Linked DNA regions of Macaca mulatta. The protein of the gene in region 5 purifies or fractionates together with the protein of the main gene of each other region. This does not show direct contact. Links are inferred from orthologs where the notes say so. Each region holds a gene or a part of one and is shown on either strand. Other genes may lie near its edges. The genes, in order: ARHGEF7, GIT2, ABI1, PDGFRB, NCK1, TNIK and WASL.

Region 1 (3,500 bases), on a different chromosome or scaffold from region 5:
TAAAATTCAAAAAGAGGTGCCTGTTTAGTGACCCACTGAATGTATGTCAATGTGAATCATGAAACAAACTGCTCGATTTTCACTGTGTGGGTGGGTATGTCCCAAAAATCTGAGTTGATCTCTCACTTAAACCAAACCCGTAAGAAAACTGTGACTCCTGTAAGCATATGTCAGCTAGCATACTTTCACAGGAAAGTATAATGACCTGAAAGCACTGAGAGCGGCAGGTCCCTGTGACAGCAAGCCTTGGTACAAAGTTGCTGGCCAGATAAGCGCATACAGCTCCGTGCAGATGTGTGCATGGGACTCCTGGCAAGTCTTTCCGCATGCTATCCTTCAGTTCACGTGGGTTTCAGGCCAGACTGACTTCAGCTGGAACAAACTGGTCAACAAGTCCACACTCAGCTCTAAGCCTCTCTAACAGACCATAAGCCTCTCTCCTGTGTCAAGAATAAAAAGTAGCTCACAAATTATAAGATAGAGCTTCTATTAGACGTTTTTCATTGCCTGAGATGCCTTTAACATCTTCTGTTACGAGCTCCTAAGAGTGGGACAGAAACCCTGATGCATACATGTGGGCAGCAGTACCTCGCTTCCAGCACACTGGATCAGGACCTGGGACATGTAAGTGACGTTGCCCAGAGTTTTAATGTCATCGCCCTCCCAGTTCCGGATGGATTCCGTCAGGATCTGCAGCTCAAGTTCTTTTCTTTTCCGGACTTCTTGACATTGGGCCTGAGAGACACAGAACAACACTGTTAACAGACAGAAACTTCCAAAATCTTAAGTTCTGGCCACATTGCTTTGCATCGTCCTTAAGACAATTATTGCTTTATATCTTACTTCTTCAGACAGATAATCTGTTGAATGATTTACTTAATTATACGGAATTGAAAGTATTTGCTTGAAAGTATGAAATCAAGTCAAAAGAAGCAACGCACACAACTGCTCTGGAATACTAAGTATTATCTTAGAAAAATATAGCAGATTTTGCCACTTGTACAAAAAAGAAAGGTGGACAGAACAAAACTGTATTTTCATTCTGGTTTTGTTAGTGTTTGCCAATATAGAAGACTGAAGAGAAGAAACAAAGCATAACTTGTGCTATAAAATAAGGCATATATTTCGAAAATGCAGTTGGTAAGACAACACAACAGCAGAGAAAATGGAACCACCATTGTTCTGTTTTGCAATAAATCATTAAAGACAACACGAATGAAGGGTAAAAAAATGTTTGAAATAATTTTAAAGTAGATCTAACATCAATTACACTGCGATTTTAAAAATTTTAAGTAATTATTCTATCAGAGTCCGCTAAAAGGAGTTTACCAGCCATAGAATGCCGACTCTGTTTTTCTTTCATGTCAGCACAAGTCATTTTTTAATCATTTGACTTTTTCAGTTGATAATTCTTTTACATTCATTTGTCACAATGATGCCTGGGGGGAAAAAACAATATGCTTAATCACTTACTGAAAGGTTTTTGAAGGCAGCCATAGATTTTTGAATATCTTGTCTATCTGTATGATAATCCTTTGAGTAAAAGAAACATACAATTAGCTTTCGTAAGGAAAAGCTTTTCTTAAAAAGGTACTTTCTACAGACCAGCTTGAAACTTTTCTAATACTTTTCAACCCTTAATATTCCCTTTTTCCCTCAGCATTAAAGTGTCAGTCTTTCAGAAAATCATGAAGCCATCAGACTTGGGGGAAACATACGTTGAAAGAGAACAGTCACGAGCAGCAGGGGTGGGGAAGCCAACACTTGCTTCATCAATAAAGTCTTATTGGAACACTGCCGCGGCTCACATGCAGTATCTAGAACGGCAGAGCCGTGGAGCTGTGAAGAAGACCCTACAGTCTGCCCCCTTACAGAAAAGGTTTGCCAACTCAAGCCAAGAGAGTAACTTTAACCCAAATTTCTGCTAGGATGCAACCTGTTATTCAAAATTAAAAGAGCATAATCATTCATTAAATGATTAGTACAGTATTACCCTATAACTTATGCACACATTGTTTGTAGCTGATGATCCAGATAAGACATCTCAACATTATCTGAAAATCAGTTCTCATGTTTCAGCTTTTGGAAACTTTTCAACCAGCAGCAGTGGGTAAAAGAGAGATAAGTGGTAAATGTTTTTTAATAGAGCTGGAGTAAGGAGAAAAACATAATATTTAACAAAATCATTTTGACAATCCACTAAGTAAAAATTCTTTGTAAACTCTGTTGGTTCTGGCTTCTAAAATAAATCATGAATAATACTTTCTTTCACAGTTAAAGTCTGACCATGCCACTAACCCTTGGTAAGGACTCCGAGTAAGAGAGTGAAAGTGCGGTACCTCCATGTGTCTCTCGAGCTCTTTGAGCAGCGTAGGGTATTTATCCAGGCGCATGAAGGGTTTGCTCAGGCCCGTGGTCAGCACGAGAATTCCAGGGCTGCTGGCACCTTTGGTCTCCATGAACTCCCCCAACTCCTCACTGGGCAGCAAGTGGCAAGGGAGACACTTGTGGTTAGCAATGAGAGGCAATGGTGGCTCTCTGATCTCCACGAGCAACAGCCAGAATTTATGAAACATGAGTGTTGCTTTTAACATCTGGAAGGCTCCAGCTTTGATCCCAAATCTGCGCTGCTTATCTGGAAATGCCAAAGGGGATTCCCACCCCTGAGGGGTCCCATTCCTGCTCTCATATGAGCAAGAGTAACTACACACAGCACAGGATGTGTGGGTCTCCATGAGATCCTACTGACGCCGAGGCCCTCTGGCACATCAGTGCCATGCAGACATGTCCAATGGAAACGTGCACGCTCAGAGCCAGAATGGAGTCCAGTAATCTCAGTCTCAAGGTGGTAAGAACAAGGACTCAGCTGCTCCGGTAAAGAGCTAGAGCACGCCAATGGCCGTCATTCCCAGAGGTGAGTTCGTCCAGCAAGCAGGCCCCACCTAGGTGCTGCCAGCACTCAGCCTGGGAGTAAACAATGGCTCTCGGGGTGAGGAGTGGGAGAAGCAGCAAGAGAAGAGAGCAAACGTTGATTTACGCTTCAGAACTTCAAAAGCTTTGTTACGTTTAATCCTCACAACACATGAGGAAGGAAGGGGTCCCTGCGTGCAGACAGCGAATGCTGATTTATGCTTTAGAACTTCAAAAGCTTTGTTACATTCAATCCTCACAACACGTAAGGACGGAAGGGGTCCCTGCGTGCGGACAGCGAACGCTGATTTATGCTTCAGAACTTCAAAAGCTTTGTTACACTCAATCCTCACAACACGTAAGGACGGAAGGGTCCCTGCGTGTGGACAAAGAAACTGAGTGCATATCCCAAAATTAAGGAGTTAGAAAATTTTAGATCTTCCTGTGTTCCTCTTTCACCATTCCCTTCACGGTGCCTCGCCTGGCTTTCCCTACAGTGGGTCCTCACGTGCGTCACCTTTGTCCTCAGTTCCCACAGCTGTGGCAGAGGACACGGGCAGGATTCTGAGGGGTCCAGCTCTTCACCCACA
Region 2 (3,960 bases), on a different chromosome or scaffold from region 5:
CAGAGAATCAGTGAGGTACCTCACACATAGTAAAGTAGTAACGTTAGCTGTTATATCTTTTCTAAATTATTTTCTCAGTAATACAGATATTTTCTAGATGTGAAATTCACGATCACTGGAAAAAGTTTTTGATGGGAAATATTTAAAACATTGAACATTTCATGTGACCACTATACTACTGTATTGAAAATCTCCATGGAGTTGTCAAGTAATTGAACTCAGAGTGTGATGTATTTGAAACGAACCAGATTCATTAAAAAAACAAACAAACACACAAAAAAATAGAATATTTAAGAAGTGATCATGGTTAAATGTTTGCATAAAATAGAATCAAAATAATTCAATTTATTATAACTGTCACTATTACTATATCATCCTAAAAAGCAGAGATTGGAAATGTCCAGATGAAGGAGCTCTACAAAGATGCATAACAACACTGCTTCCTGCGGTATAGTACTGTCACTAATGGCCAAAAAAAAAAGACTGTTTTGAAGCATACCTTTGGTTTTCACTTATCATTCAGAGGATTTGCACTATTCTTTTTTTAGCAAGTATTTAACACATATTAATTAAGACAAGTATTCGACTAACCACTTTAGCATCCTGGATCAGAATCCCATGGAAAGAATATTAGAATGATAACGTGGTAAAATAAAAATAAGTTTGTATGAATGAGATTGGGTAAAACCCTTTAAGTTCATCTGGAGGCTTTATGCCTGGGCTCCAGGGACACCACAAATGAACTTCAAAAATGTCCGTGACTCCCCTAGACAAATCTTAGGTAAATTCGTTCACGTGCATTTTAGGGGAGAAGGCCTTAGCATTCATCAGAATCTCAAAGGGGTCCCTAACCCTACAGGTAATTCTCTCAGTAGGGTTTTGCAGAAAAGGCAGCACAAATTCCAGGCTGCTCAATTTCACAGAATATTTCAAGGTAGCCTACTTATATTCAAAACAGGAAGGAAGTGACTCAAGTCTCTGCAGATCAGGCGTATGAGACAACAACTAAAGCGATACAATGGAAGAGAAAATGTTCTGAAATGCACAAAATGCTGCAAAAGTATATTTAGGATGGCAATGGAGGAACAATTTTGCTTTGCCCCGTACCCCATCAAGAAGCAAAACAATATGCATTCCAAGAGGAAGTTAGAAGCTGGACACATGTGAATCAAACACATCACAGAAAGTTCGACTGAAAACAGGCAAGAAAATAAGGAAGTGGAACAAATAACATTTTTAGAGAAAACGATGGAGTTTGAGTTTGTATAACTCACACTAACTTGGTTTAGAAAACGCTTCTTTTTAAACTCCTCCACACCCCCTCCCTATCTTCAAAGGAAACTGGTAACACCTGCACTGTACCAGCCATTAAAACCACCACATGAGGTTTGAGTTATCACAGTTCTATTTACAATCAGTCTTCACTTCCAAATGACAAGCTGAAGATCAGAACAGTTGCAAAGCCAGTGGTGTTCAATGATTTGATTAAGATTGTTTATCGGACACTATTGTGCCAAGAAAGCCATGTTACCTTCGAATTAACTCAAAGCCAATACATCCAAGCACCTAAAACAGCATGTAATAATCTATCCAGAGACCTGACAATTCAGTTGCAATTGCTGAGATCCGCTTGATCTCTAAATGTGAATATTATGTATGAACAGTTATGCATCATTATGAAGGAATGGTTTAGCGTTTCAATGCCCCTATATTGCTGGTGATTTTGCGTTTGTTTCAGTTGTAATCAACGTATGATTTAGATAGTCAATTCTAGCTTTAAGGGACTGCAAGTGTTCTATTGTAGACAGCATAACGCAAAAAAGAAAAGCCTTAGATGATATGATCCTACGAGTATTCATTGAATCCTCCTCACCACTGAGCGTGATACTCCCGATTATCCTCATCGAAAAAAATGAGGAAATCAAGCCAAGTGACCAAGTGAAGTCACCAGCCCAAGGTCACCCAGAAGCAAAATCTAGTTTGAACCCAGGCCATTCAGATCCTCAAACTTGAGACACGCACTGCCTCCTAAGTGCTGGTTGTGTCTGGAAGACCCCGATCTACTGGCAATTCTCCCCGACAGAGTAGCTGTCGGATGTCAGGAGCGGAGAAGTCATCTACGGGGACCCTCTGGCGAGACTCAGGGAGTGTCATCCTCCCCGGGCAGGGCACCCAGGCGGAGAGAGGGTCTAGTGGGAGGTGACACCTGCAGCCTCTGGAGGCTGCAGCCGGGAGGACGCTCGCATTTTACTTCTGTAATTGGCTTTCCTGTGTATTGCCCAAGCCCCTTCCTGTTGGGGGAGCAGCCCTGGCCCCCGTCACCTCCCCAGCTGGCCTGGGACGGAGGGAACGGGAGGGAACTAGAGGGAACGAGAGGAAAGGGAGGGCCGCGAGGTACTGGGAGGGCGGCGGCCCCCTGCCCGCCAGGCTCTGACAGGCCTGGGACACGTCCTGCCCCAAGGCCGCCCCGGGACCTCTTCGTTGAGACCCTAGTAGCGGGTTGCGGACGCTTGACCGCAGGATGCCGCCTGACCTGAGTGGGCGGCCCCGGGGTAGGGGTCCGGGCCAGGAAAGCAGAGGGGAGCGGGCCCGGCCGGTGCGACTCACCCGGCCCGCTGCAGTCAGCGCACACCTCGCTGCTCCGGAGCCGTTTCGACATGGCTCCCGCCTCCCACCTGCCGGGAAGTAGAGGCCCGGGGACAGCAAAGGCGGCGGCGGCGGCGCTTCCGCTCTAACGGGTCCCAGCGGCAGCGGCGCTGACGGCGGCGCCTCTCCCCTCAGTGCCTTGCAGCCTTGGCATAGCACGCAAGCGCGGGGAGGCGCCCTTCTGCGAGTGTCAGGTCATGTGACCGGAAAGGGCACGCTGCCTTGTCGCCATCTTGAGTGAGGGCAGGAGACTGCTGGAGCATCATCTGTCCTACCTTTAAATATTGAATTTGGATCTCCCTCTCTGGCAGAGATTCCCCTCGTCCCAACTGATTAATACCAGGGGAAGCAGCAATATCTTGTGATGAGAACCCTGCAGCCACAACCTTCCTGAGGCAATCAATGGTCAAGTTCATTGATTCATTCCTTTATTCAACAAATATTTATCGGCCGGGCGCGGTGGCTCAAGCCTGTAATCCCAGCACTTTGGGAGGCCGAGACGGGCGGATCACGAGGTCAGGAGATCGAGACCATCCTGGCTAACACAGTGAAACCCCGTCTCTACTAAAAAATACAAAAAACTAGCCGGGCGAGGTGGCGGGCGCCTGTAGTCCCAGCTACTCAGGAGGCTGAGGCAGGAGAATGGCGTAAATCCGGGAGGCGGAGCTTGCAGTGAGCTGAGATCCGGCCACTGCACTCCAGCCTGGGCGACAGAGCGAGACTCCGCCTCAAAAAAAAAAAAAAAACAACAAATATTTATCGAGTACTTACCATGTTTTATACAATGTCCCAGCCACTGGAGAAACAGCAGTGAGCAAAGACTGAATTCCTAGTCCTTATGAAGCTTGCATTTTACTGAGGTAGATAAAGTAAAATAAGAGTGTATTATATGATTCCAGGCTAGGCGCGGTGGCTCACTCTTGTAATCTCAACACTTTGGAAGGCTGAGGCAGGCGGATCACTTGAGGCAGGAGTTGGAGACCAGCCTAGGCAACATAGTGAAACCCCATCTCTACTAAAAATACAAAAATTGGCCGGGCACGGTGACTCAAACGCCTGTAATCCCAGCACTTTCTGAGGCCGAGGCGGGTGGATCACGAGGTCAGAAGTTCAAGACCAGCCTGGCCGAGATGGTGAAACCCCGTCTCTACTAAAAATACAAAAATTAGCCAGGCACAGTGGCAGGTGCCTGTAATCCCAGCTACTTGGGAGGCGGAGGCAGGAGCTTGAACCCAGGGGGTGGAGGTTGCAGTGAGCTGAGATGATGCCATTGCACTCCATTCTGTCTCAAAAAAAAAAAAAAAAAAAAAAGAT
Region 3 (3,500 bases), on a different chromosome or scaffold from region 5:
AAATCTAAACAAACAACAAATAAAAAACACATTAAGTTGGTTATAAACCAAGCATTTCATATTATAGAAAAAGTTGTTTTATATTTGTTTACTGTGTAAGTGCAGAAGCCTTTCACCAGAAGTTAGTGATATTAGATTTAATACTTTAATCTTTGTATTATCACCTGCAACCTAATAACTATAAATGCTAGCACTCTACTAGCACAGAGGAGTTTATTATGAATTATGTAAAGTGAGTTCAATGGCTGCAATGGCTATGCAATCTCACCTATCACAGTGCTCACTGGGAGAAGTGGTGCCAGAGGTGGTGCTGGTGGAGCTCCAGAAGGAGGAGGGACAGAAATGTTTTCTAATAAAATAGTTTATAATTCAGGTCAGAGTACAAGAAAAGAAAACTCAACATTTTGAAACAGCAAGAAAGTACAATATATTGGAAATAAAAAGAAAAAAGATACCCACATGTAAAGCATGCTCAAATGAGTATGAATTTTGTAGGTAAAGAGGCTACCAAATTTATACCTGCCTTAACTATCAAATATGCCTATGTTTATAAGTGGCTTTTTCTCCTTTTTCAAAAATATGCTTGAAAAGCTAAGAATTTTTTTCTAACATTTTTCATTATCATATTTTTAAAATATACATTTTAACAATATAAAAAGTCTCCATTTCATTTACTAAAAATCAAGAGGCTAATTTAATGCCCTCCAAGGATTTTTGAAATTTTCATACTTTCTGAAAGTAAAATAACTTTCCTATCTTAATCTTATTTTACATGTATTGCATTTTATTGAAATATATATTGAATATCACAGATAAATGTAGTAAAGTCACAAAATAAGCAACCACCAGAGCAGATACTGGCCTGCAAGGCAACATTAAAACTCCTAGAAACATAATTCACCTTTATAGACACTGATTCTCCAGCTGGAGTATCATACAATACTGGTTTGCTCTTGAAATAATAAATGTCATTCTTGACTAGTATGCTAGGCAAATACAGTCAGCCCTCCATATCCATGGGGTTCTTCGTCCCTGGATTCAATCAATAATAGATCAAAAATATTTCGGGGAAAAAAGGGGATGGCTACATCTGTACTGAACATGTGCAGACTTATTTTTCTTGTCACTATTCCCTAAACAATACAATATAACTATTTAAGTAACACTTATATTGTATTAGGTATTATAAGTAATCTAGGGATGATTTAAACAATATGAGAGGATGTGTGTAGGTTATATGCAAATACTACACCAGTTTATAGAAAGGACGTGAGCATCCATGCATTTTGGTATCTGCAGGGGACCTTGGAACCAATCCCCTATGGACACTGAGGAATGAATACATTTCTAAAGCAAAATGGCTAACAAAAAGTTATTTAACAAAACTACTTAATATACAGTATATATAAGGAGAAACAGCTGGCGAAATCCTATAGACTTTGTGAAAAACAATCTAAAAACATTGTTAAATTTGTTATCAGCCTTTATTCTAGCAACAATCACAAATTTAATTAATAATTTTACTCAATGTGACTAATTTATTTCAGCCTTCCACAATAAAGCTCATAAATATTATCACGTATTAAACACAGATTAATAAATAACACACCTGGTCCAATAGTGGGTGGCGAAGGTGTAGGCACAGCAATGGGAATGCCAATACTACTGCTACCACTGTTTTCTCGACTTCCACTTCCTCCGCTACTTCCACTGAAAAGAAAAAAAAAATTGTGAAAAACCAATTCTAGAGACATATTAAAAAAAAAACTGTAATCACCCAAGGCCACTGAATACTCCTTTTATGTCATATAGTCACCCCTCAGTATTCTTGGAGGATTGTTTTCAAGAACCCCCTTGGATACCAAAACCCATGGATGTTCAAGTCCTGCGGCTGGCCCTAGAGAACCAGCGGATATGAAAAGTCGGTCTTCTGTATCCACGGGGTCTGCATCCCATGAATACTGTATTTTCAACCTGAGACGGGCTGACTCTGGGAACGCAGAACCTGAGGAAGGAAGGGAGGGAGGGAGAGAAGAAGCGGGGAAGGGAAGGAGGGAGGGAGGAAGGGAAGGAGAGATGGAGGGAGAGAGGGGAGAGGGAGGGAGGAAGGGAATGGGAGGGGGTGTGTGTGTGTGTGTGTGCATGTGTGTGCGTGTAACAAGAATTTTTTTAACTATTCATCACAAACCTTAATCCTAATATTTGAAATGGTTTCCTCTACTTCTCAACCTATCTGGAACCAATATAATGATAACACAGTACTTAAAACCATCTCTGCTGAAATATTTATCACCAACAAAATCTTACAGTACAATGAGTCAACAAGTGTTTATTCAAAACCTGCTATGAAGAGCAGTGAGCAATGCAGTGATGAACCACACTGTCTGAAGCTCATAATGGGAAAACTGACATGAAAAGGTAATGTAACAGATACAACAAAAGAGAAAGTACAAATAATGTGGAAGTAAATTAAAAGGGTAATCCATTCTAGTCTAAAATTAATATGAAAACTTCCTCTCATCTCAAAGAAAGGTGATAACACAAACATTTTCTGGAAAATAAGCATAATGACAAAGAAAGACAATAGTGAAGTTTCAGTGTGGTCATTCTAGAATAGTTGCTACTGATAAACTCTAATCAACTCCTCACTACTATTCTACTTCCTGTGGATGTACTGTCCTGTTAGCTGTAGGACGTGGCTCTCTCTAGTTGTTTCTAGTAAGGTATGGCACAAGCCTTACTTCTTGTAAGGTATGGCACAAACAACTAGATCTTATGCCATCTAGTTGTTTATAGTAATGTGTGTACATGTGTAAAAACATATATTTGTGTACATGTATCCTTACGCTCCCTATTATGTTTTAAAATCTACATGATTTGCTCAATGAGCCCAGAAATTTAAAGGGCAAAGATTTGCAATGCCTGGATAAGATTTTTATTTTCTTCTGCAATATGATCATTCTATAATTAGATTATCATATGCTAATGGAAGAAAAAGAAAAAAGCCATTTATATAACAGACACAGCTTAGATGTGAAGACCTCCCTAACTCCCTCAAGCCAGGTGATCAACACTTAGTTTTGTGCCATCACTGCATCATAGACATATGAGTATTTATCCTCTTATTATGCTCCTCTTCAATTACTGTCTTTTTTCCAACAAGGGGTTGGCAAATTACAGCCTGTGGGCTAAAACTGGTCCATTGCCCGATTTTTACTACCTGTGAGTTAAGAATGTCTTTTACATTTTTTAATAGTTAAAAAAATCAAAAGAGGAATAATATTTTGTAGCACATTAAAATTATATGAAATTAGAATGTCAGTGCTATAAATAAAGTTTTACTGGAACATAGCCACATTCATTTACGTATTGTCAATGGCTGCTTTTGTGCTATAATGACAGATCTGAGTAATTGCAACAGAAACCATATGGCCCACAAATCCTAAAATATTGACAATCTGGCCCTTTATAGAAAACGTGTGCTGATCCCTGTTCTAATA
Region 4 (3,500 bases), on a different chromosome or scaffold from region 5:
CTCCCACACCACGGGAGCTGAACCCGAGCAGGTCAGAACAAAGGTGCTGGAGACATTGAGGATAAGCTCTGGCCCCGGGGGTGTGATGACCAGGCCCTGAGAGACCTGCGGTTCCAGCAGTAACAGCAGGGGCAGCAACAGCAGCTGGCCTTTGGGAGAGGAGGTATCAGACATCAGGGCACAGGGGCCTCAGCACCTCTCGCAGGGCTGAGCCTGTGAGGAGGCCACATATGCACAGCCCTCAAGTCCTTGAGGAGCACAGCTCCTTTATCTGACAGACTGGGGCTCTCCAGCCACGGCTCTGAGGATCACTCACCCAGCTTCAGGGCCCCAGGGATTCCTCCAGACTGCCTATGTCAGTCCCTTTAGACCCCAGCCTCTAAATCCTTCAGCAGTGCTGTGTGTAGGCAGTAGGCACCAGAAGGGGCCAGGAAATCCTCGGGAAGCAATTCCCTGGCCTCTAGTTCCTGCATTGCTTCCCAGGTCACTTTCTGAGCCTCCTCCCTACAGCTCCCCGCCCCCTCCCCCGACTGCCCAGGTTCTGCCCAAGGCCCAGAGGTGCCTCTGGGTGGGAGAGGGATGGGAGGGAGGGGCTCAGGTAGCTCAGAGTGGGGGCAGGAAAGATGCTGAGGCCCCTCTGGGCTGGAGGGGCCTGGGTTTGGGGGTATGCGTGTGTCAAGTGATTGGTTTCCCACCATGACATCCCCTGAACAAGGATTTTGCAGGCCACACCCTCCATGCCCCCTGGTGATAAAGATCAGGAGGGGAGGTGGGCAGTCAGGCAGCCAGTCCATCTGACAGCCAGCTGCCGGGCAGGCTGCTGGCTGGTCATTAATTTCTGGGTCAGCCACTCAGCCCCTGCAGAGCCGAAGACATGTTAATGGACAGGACTGAGGGGTGGGGTGTGCTGAGAAGCCCAGCAGGGACTTGGAAGCTCCCAGCTAATGAGGGGTCCAAGCCGGGTGCCGCGGATCTACCAGACCGAGGCCAGGAGGCCAGGGGTGTGTGCCAGAAGGTAGGATGGGGTCTGGAGGACCAATCAAAGGATGTGAGTTGATGGTTCTGGACAAGCAGGGGCCACTGACGCTTTCTGAACTGAAGGGCTGGCAGCTGGAGGCCTCCACAGAGCCCACTGGAAATCCCGGAAACTAAAGCCGAAGAGCAGGGCAGTGTGCCTGGTGCTTCACGCCCTGCCACCAGCACACGTCACCCCTGCCAGCTCCAGGGTTCCACTCCGCAGCCCCCCCCAGCTCCCCTACCTTATCTCCCATCTACCTACCTTTGAGGGCCAGAGCTGGCATCGCACCCGGAAGCCGCATGGTGTCCTGCAGAGTTAAAGAGGAGTTTAACACCTGGCCCAGGGCAGATGGAGGCAGCGCCAGGAGCTATCTCACCACCTGGCTCCTGCAGAATGAGCCCCAGCTTGGGCCACCCAGCCTTCATGTCCGAGGGGCTGAAGTCAAAAGCCACCACGTTCCAAGCCTGAAAGGGCACTCAAGACCACAGACCCTCTCCTCTCCACCCCAGATTCAGCCTTAGGGGGCCTGGCCCTTGCTTTGGCTCTGGTTGTGACTCTCATGTGGCCCCGGCTGCATCCCCAGCCTCTCTCTGAGCCTTAGTTTCCCCCTCTGTACAGTGAGGGAGGGGAAGTTGGGCTGGATGGTGTCCAGCGGCCTGCCAGCTCTGACAGCCTGTCCTCCGGGTGACAGTTCCAATACCAGGCTCTTATCTGCCAGGACAAATATTTGGGAAAGTGTGATGAAAGGCCTGGGAGGAGGAGGGGGGAGGCCAGAACCCAGAGAACTCCCGCAGCTCCACAAGCACAACAGGAAACGGAGGAGGCTGTGGGCTGTGGGAAGGGAAGCGGGGGAGCCGGGGCTGTGGAATGTGGGAGGTGGGCCTGGACCCCTTTACTCAGCTCAGAGCATATAGGGAGGCCCAGGGGAGAGTGGCTAGGGGCTGGGCCCAGGAGAGGTACCCTCGAGCAGCCGGGCCTCATAGGTCCTTGGAGACCAGTGAAGCCAGGCTCCCCACCTCTACTCTCAGGGTGCAGATGGAGAAACTGAGGCTCTGAGAAGGTGAGAAATTTGCCCAAGATTCCACAGCAGAGCCTGTCTGAGAGGGAGACAGAGAAAGACCTGAAATGACAGAAGCAGAAAGAGACAAAGACACAGAGACAGAGAAGAGGTGTCCAGAGAGACAGCACCAGAGGCACTAAGAGACAGAAGCACTAAGAGAAACACTAAGACAGAGGCACTAAGAGACAAAGACAGAGACAGACTGAATGGGGGCAGCCCTTGCTCTCCTCTATCTTGGAAGACACACCTCGGGTCCCAAGAGACCACCAGGAGCCAGGTATGCCAAAGTCTGCCTGTAGCATTGGCAGGAAGGAGGCCAGAGGATGGGGGGTCGCAGAGCATGAGCTTTGGGAGGTGATGACGTGACGAGGCAACAAGGAGCCTCCTCTGGCCGTGGGGCTGCCCGGCCTATCCTGCCTCTGAAGGCCATGCCCAGCTTGCCCCCGCCTCCCCATCTCATCCCTTTTAGTTTTCAGTTTAGGGCTGCGGACCGGGTTCAGGCCCCAGCACGCCACCTCTTGTACCATCACTCTCCCTGTGGCCTAAGTCCCCAGCTCTGGAAGTGGATGATGGTGAGTGCCGTACCTACCAGGGCGGCATTCACATGTCAGGGGTGGGACAGAGGCAAGGCTCCCCCAGCCTATGGAGCCCCAACCTTAGCTCTGCCCAACACCCCATGAAACAGTCTGAGCAAATCAGCTCTTCTCCTCCCCGCTCCCTTTCGGACTGCCTGCCTGAAGGTCTCCTCATTTCTTCCTCTCCCCTCTCTGATCTGCTCCTGACTCGAAGCCCAGCCCTTCTGACGCCCCCTCCAGCCTCTGCTCCCCACCATCCCTCTGCCCCAGCCCCTCCAGCTGGATGCTAGGCCTCCTTGGTCAGGAGGGAGCAGCGCCAAGGCGGAGCCAGCAGCCCCCACAGAGGCCCATCTGCCCCTCCATCGGTGCCCCTCTGGCTGCCCCCTTCCTGCTAGAGATCTCAGCCAAAGAAAATCATTAGCAGCCGAGGCTGGGGGAGGGGGTCACTTCAGCCTCCCTGCCCCTCCTCTCCCAGTCTCCCTGGCTGGCCACACTGTTTATTATTCTAAAGGAGGAATTTGGCCGGCTGGCCAGGAGAAGGGAGGTCACTGCAGCGGGGCTGGCCTGGCTCTGGAAGTCTGGGCTGGCCATGTGGGCTGGGCCTTCATGGCATGCAGCCCCCGACCCTGCTCCCATGTGGTACTCTATCCTCTCCCCTTCAGAATCCCTCCTGCTGGGCCTGGGGCTGGGGGTAGCTTAGAGACTCTGAGCTAGGGGGGATGCTTTTTGAATGGGCAGCAGAGGCCCAGAGAAGGACAGAAGCATGCCCCAGTCGCACAGCAAAAAGGCAGATTCAAGCTGTGGGGAGGGGACAGGCAGGCAGTGTGGATGCTGTAGGGAGGGTGTA
Region 5 (4,076 bases):
ACAGCACAGGCTAACCACATGCATGCATTACCAATCAAATAATTTGAAGTTAAATGCAGAAAACTGCAAACTTTTGAGGCTTATAGCCAGGGCCAGGATTAAAATAAATATTAATGCCTTCAACAGTATTTACTGACCATCTACCCTACTACAAGGCCCTAGGGAGAAACTGAACAGACATGGTTCCTGATTCAGTGGAGTTTACTATCTAGGTAGGGATACAGGCAAACCATTTCAATAGCTCGGATGGAGAAAATACCTATGCTCCAAAGAAGGTACCTAACTCAGCAAACTTCCCTGAGGAGCGACTCTAAACTGAGCCACAAAGATGGTTAAGAAATGAGGCGGCTGAGCGTGGTGGCTCACGCCTGTAATCCCAGCACTTTGGGAGGCCAAGGCTGGCGGATCACGAGGACAAGAGATCGAGACCATCCTGGCCAACATGGTGAAACCCCGTCTCTACTAAAAAAAAAAAAAAAAAAAGATGGGCGTGGTGGTACACACCTGTAGTCCCAGCTACTCGGGAGGCTGAGGCAGGAGAATCTCGAACCCGGAGGCGCGACAGAGCGAAACTCGTCTCAAAAAAAAAGAAATGAGGCAGGTACCGGCGAGGGGAAGAACCAACTTACTGATACCTCAGCCAGTGGCTGGAGCCCTAAGAATGGGCAGACCTGGCTCCGAAGGTGGTCTTCATAACACTACTGCCGCCAAGAATGTAATGTAAGTAAGCTGCCCAAGCACAAGGACACTTTTAGCGGGCCCTCAGCTTCTTTTGGTCTGTGCCTCAAATTAAGCACGTCTTACATTTCTCCCAGGTCCCAATTTTCAGGTCTGCTTTTCTTTGTCTTTCTTTGTCGCTCCCCGCTCCTAAGAACCTTTCGCTGGGAAGACATTCCTCAAGTGCAGAAACCGGGGGAAGCTCCCAGAAGAGTGGGCGCTGAACCCAGGACACAGTCATTCTTGCTGTGGAGTCTCTCCTGCGGCGCTGAGAAGGAAGGCTCGAAGTAACCAGCCAGAGCAATCGCACAGGGAAAAGCGAAGACGGTTCTGGTCGGGCCCGGCGCTTCTCACCCTCTAGCTCGCTTCGCTCCTTGGCGCAGCCTCCGCTCCCTTCACACCACGCACGGCGCTTGATTGACATGTGGGCCCGCCCAATCCCAGTGTGGCACAGACCGCTGTCGCATCAGGGACCGGGAAAGGGGGCGACTGAACCTATCAGATTGGGCCGAGAGTGGGTTTCCTGCCCGCGCGGATCCGCCTGCCCACCGCGCGTGCCCCGCCCCTCTCCGAGAGCTACGCGTCGGCGGCAGAGCGCAGGCCTCGTGCCGTTACGGCCATCACGGCGGCCGCGGTGGCGTCCTGGAGCCCTCCTCAGGTGAGCTGGAGCTGCCCAGCTCGGCAGCAGGAAGGTGAGACGGCCTTGCTAGCAGGCAGACACACCCCCACCCCCCTTCAGTCGGCTGTCCATCCACACAGCCTGTTAGCCGCTGCGTTGCTTCCTCTTCCCGGCTGAGTTAGCCCCGGGGGCGCCGTCTGCAGGCTCGGAGCTGAGCCGGAGGGGGCGCGGAGGCTGCTCAGAGGGTCCGAACTTCTGCACCGGGATTCCGCGAGGCCCTCGGGCCGTTGCCCCGGGGAGCGCGACCCTGCGGCCTCCTTGTCAGCCCCTGGAGCGCTGCGTCGGAGTGAGAGCCCGGGCGGCCGCCCCTGCGAGGCTGGGAGGTCGAGTGTGGGGCGCGCTGGCTGACTTGTCTGTTTTCTCCTGAAAAAGACCTTTTGCCAGCTGTGGCGTAATCCGAGGCCGGGAAGGTAGGACGTGGTAGGAGGAAGGGCGCTCTCACCTCCAGCGCGAGAAGAGGGGAGGCGGCAGCCTGCGCGGTGCTGCGGGTGGACATCTTCGGGACGCGCCCTCGCCCCTCCCCCCACCCGCCTGACGTTTTCTAGTCCGGGGCTGTGACTTTAATCGTCTGGACCTGCTTCAGATTCGTACGCGAGTTGCTGGGGCTGTGAACTTTTGACTTGAGTTGTAATATGTTTGGTTAAAAAAAAACCATTTCGATAGGTTTTGTAACCTTTCTTCTATATTAACATGCAAGTTAAATTCGCCGTTAGAAGCTCAGGAAGCTGAGTTTTGTTCAGGGAGGACGTAGAAACCGTAGAAAGGCTCTCGGAGTCAAACTGATGAACTTGGAGTCACCTGATCATAATTATACACGTTAGATTAGGTAAGAAGCCCTAGAAATTAGGAAAGAATGAGGTTAAGGAGAATTTCCTAACCCTTCTTTGGGTGGGGAGCAAAGCAGCTCAATGTCCCTCCAAAACAAGTAAGTGTTGCTAAGAGGTACTCATTTTTAAAATCTTACTTTGTTAGACTTATGACAAACCATCTATAACGATTTCTTGAGCACCTGGAAACCAGTGTGCCTAAACTCTCAGCCTTCAGCGAGGTCACACAGTAAACGGAGAAATAACCTAGGAAGAAAGTTTTGTTCGGTAATTGTCAATAATATTCGTTCTTTTCTTTTTAAAACACTTTATTTTCTTGTGGGAGTGAAGTCAGTGATGTTCTTCAATAGGCATCCCATTCACAACTTGATAGTAATGTGCACTGGTTGATAAATGGTACTGTCTTTTCAATTTGACCACAAACTCTGAGACTTCTTTGGGAAAATTGTGATCTGTGGGAATTGTCTTTAATATCCATAACGATAGTTTGCAGAGTGTTCAGATCTACTCAGCTGTTGGCTCATGTATTACATTTTAAAATGTGTGCTTATTTTTCCAGGCATTATCTTTTGTCCAGATTTCTGCAGTGCCTTCAGGTCCAACTGAATAAAATTTGAAACCTACATGTAATGTTGGCGGGGCGCGGTGGCTCACGCCTGTAATCCCAGCACTTTGGGAGGCCGAGGCGGGCGGATCACGAGGTCAGGAGATCGAGACCAGCCTGGCCAATATGGTAAAACTCCGTCTCTACTAAAAATACAAAAATTAGCCGGGCGTGGTGGCACGCGCCTGTAATCCCAGTTGCTTGGTAGTCTGAGGCAGGAGAATTGCATGAACCCGGGAGTCGGAGGTTGCAGTGAGCCAGGATCGCCACTGTACTCCAGCCTGGCAACAGAGCAAGACTCCATCTCAAAAAAAAAAAAAAAAAAAAAATTTACGTGTAATGTTTTGTTAGATACTGAAGGAGACCCAGGCAGGGTAGTTCAAGCCTGTAATCCCAGCACTTTGGGAGGCCAGGATGGGAGGATAGCTGGAGGCCAGGAGTTTGAGATCAGCCTAGGCAATATAGTGAAACTCTGTCTCTAAATTAAGAAAATTAAAAAAAAAAAAAGGAAAATAATAAAAGAGATATTAAGTGATACTTCATGGTTCTGGGTTTTTTTCTTTACTGTTTTTTTTTTTTTTTGAGACAGAGTCTCACTCTGTTGCCCAGGCTGGAGTGCAGTGGCACGATCTTGGCTCACTGCAACCTCTGCCTCCCAGGTTCAAGTGATTCTTGTGCCTCAGCCTCCCTAGTAGCTGGGACTACAGTGTGTGCCACCATGCCCAGCTAATTTTTGTGTATGTATATATATATATTTTTTTCTTTTTTTGTTGAGACGGAGTCTCGCCCTGTCACCCAGGCTGGAGTGCAGTGGCACGATCTTGGCTCATTCCAACCTCTGCCTGCCGGGTTCAAGCAATTCTCTGTCTCATCCTCCCCTGTAGCTGGGATTACAAGCACCCGCCACCACACCCGGCTACTTTTTGTATTTTTAGTAGAGGCAGGGTTTCATCATCTTGACCAGGTTGGTCTTGAACTCCTGACATTATGATCCACCCGCCTCGGCCTCCCAAAGTGCTGGGATTACAGGCATGAGCCACCGCGCCGGGCCTGTACTTTTAGTAGAGACGGAGTTTCACCATGTTGACCAGGCTGGTGTCGAACTCCTGACCTCAAGTGATTCACCTGCCTCGGCCTCCCAAAGTGCTGGAATTACAAGTGTGAGCCACTGCACCCGGCCTATATTCATTTTTCAAAATTCTTCTAGAGTTTTACCTTTTCATTGTTTTGTACTTTTACTTTGTCTTAC
Region 6 (3,500 bases), about 43 Mb from region 5:
ATTACCAGTCATTTAAAAAAATCACTATTGCTGCGCACAGTGGCTCATGCCTGTAATCCCAGCACTTTGGGAGGCCAAGATGGGCAGATCACGACATCAGGAGATCGAGACCATCCTGGCTAACACAGTGAAACCCCATCTCTACTAAAAATACAAAAAATAAGCCAGGCGTGGTGGCAGGTGCCTATAGTCCCAGCTACTTGGGAGGCTGAGGCAGGAGAATGGTGTGAACCCAGGAGGCACAGCTTGCAGTGAGCCAAGGCACGCCACTGCACTCCAGCCTGGGTGACAGAGCGAGACTCTGTCTCAAAAAATAAAAAAAAAAATCACTACTGAAATCAGTGTATATTAATTTGTTCTAGGAAAGGAAATGTGATGTTGTGATCCCCGTAGTTGCGAATGCCATGGCTGACCAACATGTGCTTGATGGATTGGAATAAGAGAGTTGAGGATGATCACAGTTATGCCTTAGCTGCCTCACCAGGAATGTGAGCTGTGAATCCTTGTGTTCACCCACATACACATGAGTTAAAAGCTGTAATAATGCAGCAATGAATGGCAATCGTGTGTGTGTATGTAATATACTAAAACAACTTCTTTTAGTTATTGCATTTCATTAGAATAAAGTCCTCAAATTCTCAAAATACCAGTCAGCAGTAGCTTCAAACATTCCTGATAGTTTCTCCTGTATGTTAGCCTTGGAATTACACACAGGACACACAATTTACACTACACTGATCCTAATAAGTGAATCCATGTGCAGCATTTCCCTTTAACAGTTATGTTTCAAGCAATATGTCAGGATAGTAATATGAATATTTTAGGGCTAGTAAGATATATAATTTGCAGGACCCTGTACCAACTGCTTTAGATCCATTACCTCATTTAATACTAATGATAATCCTATGGGATAAGTCTTTTTATCATATTTTACAGATGTGAAAGCTGAGGATTGGAGAGGCTGCCTACTGTGTCCATTATTGCAAAGCTAATACATGCTAGAGCCAGAGTATGAGTGCCCCTGTGTCTGACTCCACTATACCACGCTGCCCTCAAGCTGAAGTAAGGAACTAAAGATAGCAAAAAAAAAGAATTTTCTCCAATAAATTAGTACCTGACCATTGGCTTTCTCTAACATAAAATGAACCAATTTCCCTTCAAAAACTGAATGTGGAAACTCGTCTACCGAATATAATTCATGCTCTTGAAAGAAAAATATCATATTCATTTTAATCTAAAGTCCAATGAGACAACATGTAAATGCCAAATGATCTCTATTATGTATTCTCCAGTTTTAGGAAGTCATGTAAATTAAATTTATGTATTTTAGTTATTAAAAGCAGTATACTTAATGAAGAACGAAAGTCCGTCTGCTGGTTAGTAAAGTTTGCATGACTTCTACTAAAACTGTGCAAAACAAATCTCTTTCTACATGCAGGCTGTTGTACACAGATTCCTTGGAAGTCTACTTCTGGGTACTTACATGAGATGGTATGTAGATATCATAAGAGTTTCCTGAATCAACATCAATTACATGGAAACCAGTGTGTGAACCAAAAATAACCTTTAATCTTTGACCTTCTTCTACCGTGAGATCAACTAGCAGAGGCTTGTGCTGGAGATCTGCAAAAGACTTTAAAAATCACCCCATCAGTATCCGCATCACTCAAAGAGGTATCTTAATAATTTTTTTCCTTTAGCCACTGTCTAGAGGAAGTTAACTCCTAACTTTATTAAAGTGAAAAGCTAGAAAATTTCTCTTTCAGTTTTAGGTCTGTTGATATTCTGGCTGTAGGAGGAAGGGTCTAGCATCCATTTTTGCCCCTTTCCCTACCCTTTGTCCTCCAGGTCAATGAAGTTTAAGCTGGTGCACAGGTGTAAATTTTGATAGTGGTAATGTATATTAAAGACCTGGTGCCTGGGTGCTGCTGTTTTTTCCTGTTTATTTCTGGCCTTTGTCCTCGGAAGAAGGCCCAGTTACCTCTCTGGCCCCTCTCTTTCCCATGTGGCAGTGAGGCCCATCCATAGCAATTACCCTTTCAAAGACAGCCTGGGAGGGACAGCCAAGGCCGGCTGTTTTCTCAGCCTGTTCAGTGTTAATGGGCATGCTCTGGTTTGGAATTTCTTCAGCGAATGAGTGGGCATAAGATTGGCACTTTCTCTTAATGTTGGAATCTGAGACTTGGGTTTGGGTGGTAGAGAAAGAGGTGAGAGTGGAACATCACAAGATTGATGGCTTGCATTGACTATTTGGGTTTAACTAGAAAGCAAAAAGAGAGGTCTTGTCAAGTTTGTGAAAGTTCTCTGTGTTTGAATCCAGAGCCCAAGCCCCACCTAACTGTCAAGTGTTCCTCTGCCATTTTCCTTTGCTATTTTTTAACCACACTCTACCTTTGGGCCTTGAGATCTGGGAGAGCATTTGTGAAACTACGATTGCCTTAGCTATAATGCCACTGCTACCTCTCAGACCCTTCTCTTCTCATCTTTTGCTAACACCATTCTGACAGCACAGGAAGCTCAAGCCTCCTGTCCTTGTCCTATGGGAAGGCTTTGCCTCTTGCCAGTTCCACTCTTCCCTGTTCAAGTCTTTGCCTTTGCTTTTCCCTCTCTCTGGGCTGGATCTGGTCTGTCAGAAAGAACATTTTGCACTCTCTCATGTGCTCTGGGTCATAAAATGATGGCAGTAACTTCAGAGCAAGAATGGGAATGGGATGTTGATTGAAAAGCTTTTGTGGAGACAGATTTTGGCAGAACAGGACACTTTGGCTTTTAGGAGTTATCCCTTAATTGTTATTAGTAACCTAGTGCATTCCAATTTTTTTTTTTCCATAAAAGTGAGGTTATGGAGGGGAGCCCATTTCCATTAATGAATCTATTTTCCTGAGCACATCACAAATAAGCCATCTGCACTAGGGAACAAGGTAGAAGTGATTCAGCTCTGAAGTGGGCCTACATAGTGTTCTAAGGTTTTGCCCTCCATGGTGAATGTGGCAGAAAAGAATGAATAAGGAACCAAAGGGAGATAACAGTCATAAAGGTGGGGAGAAAAAGTAACAGCCAATGAGACACAAAGAAGTAGACAGACATAAGCTGAGAGAGACAGGGAGTGTGAGAGAAAGCAGAAGGTAAGTTTACTTGGGCTATGGATAGGTTATGCGGCTCTGAACACATCTGGGTGCCTGTAAGTACTGGTCCTCCTGGTATTCGGGTGTCAGCTTCATGAGCTGGGGTCAACAGGACTAGCATATCCCCATCCCACTCCTGGCAAATCTCATGAGTGACCAATCCAACCATGGTGGGTACAAACTTAGACAAGGTAAAAAATGAAAACACAATCAAAATAGAAGAATGCAGAGAAACTAGGTCATTTCCATAAGTTAGCACTGGGGACATATAAGCATCACCTGCATTTTAGGGACTTCATCCAGAAAAATTTATGAGGATTAAAAGATTTAGAGACTAAGTTTAACTTAGTCTTTACTTTTGAAACAATAAAACCA
Region 7 (3,500 bases), on a different chromosome or scaffold from region 5:
TACATTTATATATCTATACATACAGGACCCATGAAGGCCAAGTATATAAAGTGAGACAGTAGCTGAGTAATGTACTTGGTAATGATAAAGAGCCAGTAAGACTGTGTGACATATGTGTGGGTTACATGTACAGAACACAGAACCATCTTTTTCTTCTATTTTTCTCCATATAAAATTGATTGTGTGAAGGTAGTATTTGAAGTAGTACTGGAGTTGTAGTATTAGAACTTGAATAACAGAAGCCTGAGAGAGGCAACGTTATTTTCTCTTAGCCCTAAACTAAGTTGTTACTTTTACAACAATAATAATTATTTATTTATTTAAGTCTGATGGTCAGCTCTAAATTGTTACAGAATTTATTTGGAAAGGAGTTCAACTGACTTCATGTTAATTTTTGTGTTTACTTTCTAGCAAGGGAAATAATTTGCTACTAGCTTATGCTAGACATGCTTCACAAAATTTATCTGGATGAAAAGCATCAAAGACACCCAACTATGCTGGCATTACAGAGTGACAAAAGACAGAAACTTATCAGTATCTATGGTGAAGAGGAAGATGTAGCCAATAATTCCATCATAAGGTACTACCACAGAAATACTAATGGTTAAAAGAAATGGGTCTGAAAATAAGTAAAAACCATCCTATATTTTCATTATATTAGCATGACTATTATATATTATTAAAAAAAAAAAACAAAACGTATTGTAGGGAAATAATTAGCAGAACTCACAGATACCAGCATAGAATAAATGCATTTTCAGAATCATGTATCTCACAGAAGCCTTACATTTCTTATGAATGAATGAAGACCTTTCTTTATCTCTTCCTAGCAAACAACCTCGAAACAAAAGCTTGAGATTTTTAATCTCATTCCTGTGACATTCTATGACATAAAAAATTCAGGCAGTTTACCTCATCTGTGAGGATTAGGGCTAAGAATTTAGGCAATTTTCACTGTTTTTAGAGTTTGCTAAAGAAGACTATACCATAGATATAACCTTAACTTTAAATACCATGTGTCTACGTATATCCTACTGACGTGTAATTTAACAATTCAGACCTCTCCTGTGACTTCCAGACTCATAACCAAATGCCTACTCCAGATCTATAGTTGAATTAACAGGTATCTCAAATTTAATATGTAAAACCAAACTCCTAATCTTCCCTTTCAAACTTTTTCTTCCTAAGTCTTTCCCCTTTCCAGTTGTTCAAGTCAAAAACCTTGGAGTTATCTTGCACTCTTATTTTTCTTCAACTTTCATTTTCAAACCATCAGCAAACCCAGTGATCTCCACATTCAAAATATAACTAATATTTAACCACTTCTCATTGGTGCTATAAACCTGGTTCAAGTCTCCATGATCTCTTGCTTGGATCATTACTATACCTCTGCTAAAAACCCTCCAATGGCTTCCCATCACATTCAGAATAAAAGCTAGTGTACTTCAAGGGGTCTCCAATGACTTCTTGTATTTCATTCCTTACTATTCTTTCCCTCCCTCTCTTGCAAGCTCCCTGATCTCCTCATTGTTTCTCAACCTAACAGACTTTATATTTTCTGTTCTTTCCATCGGATACACTTTCCCTAGTTTTCTACATGGTTCACTTCCTGAACTGCTGGTCTTTTCTTAAATGTCACCTCAGTTAGGCTTTATCGTCCCTTATCATTCTTTATCATTTCAAAATGAACCTCTCTCTCTCTCTCAACAGCCTGCTCCCTATTTCTCTTTTCTGTTAGACTTTTGTCCTTAGTTCATGTCACCATTTAACATACTATACATTTTTCTAGTTTGTTTACTGCTTGTCTCTCTCTCTCTCATTAGACCTAATGCATGTCGATGAAGGAAGGGACTTCTGTTGTTTTGTCAAAATTTTATTACTATTCCACAATAAATATTTATCTCTATCTCTGTAATGGAACAAATATGCCTATTTAAGGAAAATAAACATTGCTCAAGGATCTTAAGACATGCACATCCTTACAGAGAAACAAAAGGAAGATAACATTTATTGAGCACCTACCATGTGCTAGGCAATCTGCTGATTAGTGATATACTGTTTAATTCTCACATCTATATGCTTTGTGAATTCTCTGAATGTAACAAACAAGAAACTGAGGCTCAGAGATTAAATAAATCTAAGAAGAAGAAAGGTCTGTTTCTAGCACATTATGTTAGAGAAGCTATTTAGCAAACCTTAACCACTCCAATCAGCAAAACTCATATTCTTGTCCTTTCTTTAAAGCAATATTCATTTATATGGTGGTATGTATATGTTTAACAATAACCTCAGAATAGGTACTGGTTTATTCAAATCAACCTTTTAGAAAATGATAAAGGTTTAAAAAAGGTCAGTATTCTTTAGCAAACTCTAGAAACAGTAAAAATTACTTAAAATTCTTAGTCCTAATCCTCACAGATGAGGTAAATAGCCTGATTTATTATTATTTTTATTAATATTTAATTAATTTTTTTTTTTTGAGACGAAGTTTTGCTCTTGTTGCCCAGGCTGGAGTGCAATGGTGCGATCCTGGCTCATCGTGACCTCCACCTCCTGGGTTCAAGTGATTCTCCTGCCTCAGACTCCCGAGTAGCTGGAATTACAGGCATGTGCCACCACGCCGGCTAATTTTTTTGTATTTTTAGTAGAGACGGAATTTCTCCATGTTGGCTGGGCTGGTCTTGAACTCCCAACCTCAGGTGATCCACCCGTCTCGGCCTCCCAAACTGCTGGGATTACAGGCATGAGTCACTGCACCCAGCCCTGAATCTTTTATGTCACAGTAATAAGATCCAAAAAGCTCAAGCTTTGTTTAGAGGTTGTTTGCTAGGAAGTCTATCAGCATTTCCTGATATAGGAAACAAAACGGTCAATATTCCCAAAGCTGTTCTTTCAATTTATGGCTATGGCTGTGGTGGTGTTGCATTGGTAAGTCTCAGACTAGTCACAGAGGCAACAACTTTTTAAAATACACCCTAGAGCCCATATCAGTAGTTACTCAATTAGCAGAGAGAAAGCTAGCAAAGACAGTCATAAAATAAAAATAACAGAATGTCATTCAAATTTATTAAACACACACACACTCTGTCTCACTCTCTCTCTCTCTCTCTACCTGAAGAATGAATGGCTTTGCTCCTTTTCTGCATCACTTCCATTAATGCACCCACAATTCCTGAAGTGGGTGCAGGTGTTGGTGGTGTAGACTCTGGGCCATCAGACACCTTGGAAAAGAAAGTTAGCAAAACTCAGTAATAAATCTTTAGCAAAGAATCTTTGTCTCCAGAAAGTCCTACTTTCTTAGAATGACTTATTATCGTAAAAGACAAAAAAGATATTAAACTGGCAAGTCCAGGACAAGATTAATTAAATTAACAAGAAACAAACTGCTGCCTTAAAGATATTATTCAAAAATATTTCCTTTCCATCTTAATGTATAAGCCAACAATACATTTCTAAATCTATGTTTATATTCAGATAACAAACCCTCTCCTGAATAGTAC

Evidence for each region.
Region 1: the proteins of NCK1 (region 5) and ARHGEF7 purify together in Homo sapiens (co-immunoprecipitation; 3 studies listed by BioGRID and IntAct, with this or other methods). This does not show direct contact. The link is inferred for Macaca mulatta from reciprocal best matches to the Homo sapiens genes NCK1 and ARHGEF7.
Region 2: the proteins of NCK1 (region 5) and GIT2 purify together in Homo sapiens (co-immunoprecipitation; 3 studies listed by BioGRID and IntAct, with this or other methods). This does not show direct contact. The link is inferred for Macaca mulatta from reciprocal best matches to the Homo sapiens genes NCK1 and GIT2.
Region 3: the proteins of NCK1 (region 5) and ABI1 purify together in Homo sapiens (co-immunoprecipitation; 4 studies listed by BioGRID and IntAct, with this or other methods). This does not show direct contact. The link is inferred for Macaca mulatta from reciprocal best matches to the Homo sapiens genes NCK1 and ABI1.
Region 4: the proteins of NCK1 (region 5) and PDGFRB purify together in Homo sapiens (affinity purification with western blotting; 3 studies listed by BioGRID and IntAct, with this or other methods). This does not show direct contact. The link is inferred for Macaca mulatta from reciprocal best matches to the Homo sapiens genes NCK1 and PDGFRB.
Region 6: the proteins of NCK1 (region 5) and TNIK purify together in Homo sapiens (affinity purification with mass spectrometry; 3 studies listed by BioGRID and IntAct, with this or other methods). This does not show direct contact. The link is inferred for Macaca mulatta from reciprocal best matches to the Homo sapiens genes NCK1 and TNIK.
Region 7: the proteins of NCK1 (region 5) and WASL purify together in Homo sapiens (co-immunoprecipitation; 4 studies listed by BioGRID and IntAct, with this or other methods). This does not show direct contact. The link is inferred for Macaca mulatta from reciprocal best matches to the Homo sapiens genes NCK1 and WASL.

Annotation. Positions count from the first base shown.
Region 1 is NC_133422.1:105,627,477-105,630,976, reverse strand, and holds part of ARHGEF7 (rho guanine nucleotide exchange factor 7), read right to left. Parts: intron 2,479-3,500; coding exon 2,340-2,478; intron 1,534-2,339; coding exon 1,474-1,533; intron 736-1,473; coding exon 589-735; intron 1-588. UniProt on the Homo sapiens protein: Acts as a RAC1 guanine nucleotide exchange factor (GEF) and can induce membrane ruffling. Functions in cell migration, attachment and cell spreading. Promotes targeting of RAC1 to focal adhesions. May function as a positive regulator of apoptosis.
Region 2 is NC_133416.1:117,161,295-117,165,254, forward strand, and holds the start of GIT2 (ARF GTPase-activating protein GIT2), read right to left. Parts: upstream 2,801-3,960; 5' UTR 2,660-2,800; coding exon 2,608-2,659; intron 1-2,607. UniProt on the Homo sapiens protein: GTPase-activating protein for ADP ribosylation factor family members, including ARF1.
Region 3 is NC_133414.1:28,130,678-28,134,177, forward strand, and holds part of ABI1 (abl interactor 1), read right to left. Parts: intron 1,711-3,500; coding exon 1,610-1,710; intron 350-1,609; coding exon 269-349; intron 1-268. UniProt on the Homo sapiens protein: May act in negative regulation of cell growth and transformation by interacting with nonreceptor tyrosine kinases ABL1 and/or ABL2. May play a role in regulation of EGF-induced Erk pathway activation. Involved in cytoskeletal reorganization and EGFR signaling.
Region 4 is NC_133411.1:159,105,459-159,108,958, forward strand, and holds part of PDGFRB (platelet-derived growth factor receptor beta), read right to left. Parts: intron 1,326-3,500; 5' UTR 1,320-1,325; coding exon 1,280-1,319; intron 150-1,279; coding exon 1-149. UniProt on the Homo sapiens protein: Tyrosine-protein kinase that acts as a cell-surface receptor for homodimeric PDGFB and PDGFD and for heterodimers formed by PDGFA and PDGFB, and plays an essential role in the regulation of embryonic development, cell proliferation, survival, differentiation, chemotaxis and migration.
Region 5 is NC_133407.1:39,868,716-39,872,791, forward strand, and holds the start of NCK1 (SH2/SH3 adapter protein NCK1), read left to right. Parts: upstream 1-1,276; 5' UTR 1,277-1,375; exon of another isoform or gene 1,376-1,806; intron 1,807-2,782; exon of another isoform or gene 2,783-2,956; intron 2,957-4,076. UniProt on the Homo sapiens protein: Adapter protein which associates with tyrosine-phosphorylated growth factor receptors, such as KDR and PDGFRB, or their cellular substrates. Maintains low levels of EIF2S1 phosphorylation by promoting its dephosphorylation by PP1.
Region 6 is NC_133407.1:82,744,236-82,747,735, forward strand, and holds part of TNIK (TRAF2 and NCK-interacting protein kinase), read right to left. Parts: intron 1,634-3,500; coding exon 1,484-1,633; intron 1-1,483. UniProt on the Homo sapiens protein: Serine/threonine kinase that acts as an essential activator of the Wnt signaling pathway. Recruited to promoters of Wnt target genes and required to activate their expression. May act by phosphorylating TCF4/TCF7L2.
Region 7 is NC_133408.1:163,488,482-163,491,981, forward strand, and holds part of WASL (actin nucleation-promoting factor WASL), read right to left. Parts: intron 3,222-3,500; coding exon 3,113-3,221; intron 1-3,112. UniProt on the Homo sapiens protein: Regulates actin polymerization by stimulating the actin-nucleating activity of the Arp2/3 complex. Involved in various processes, such as mitosis and cytokinesis, via its role in the regulation of actin polymerization.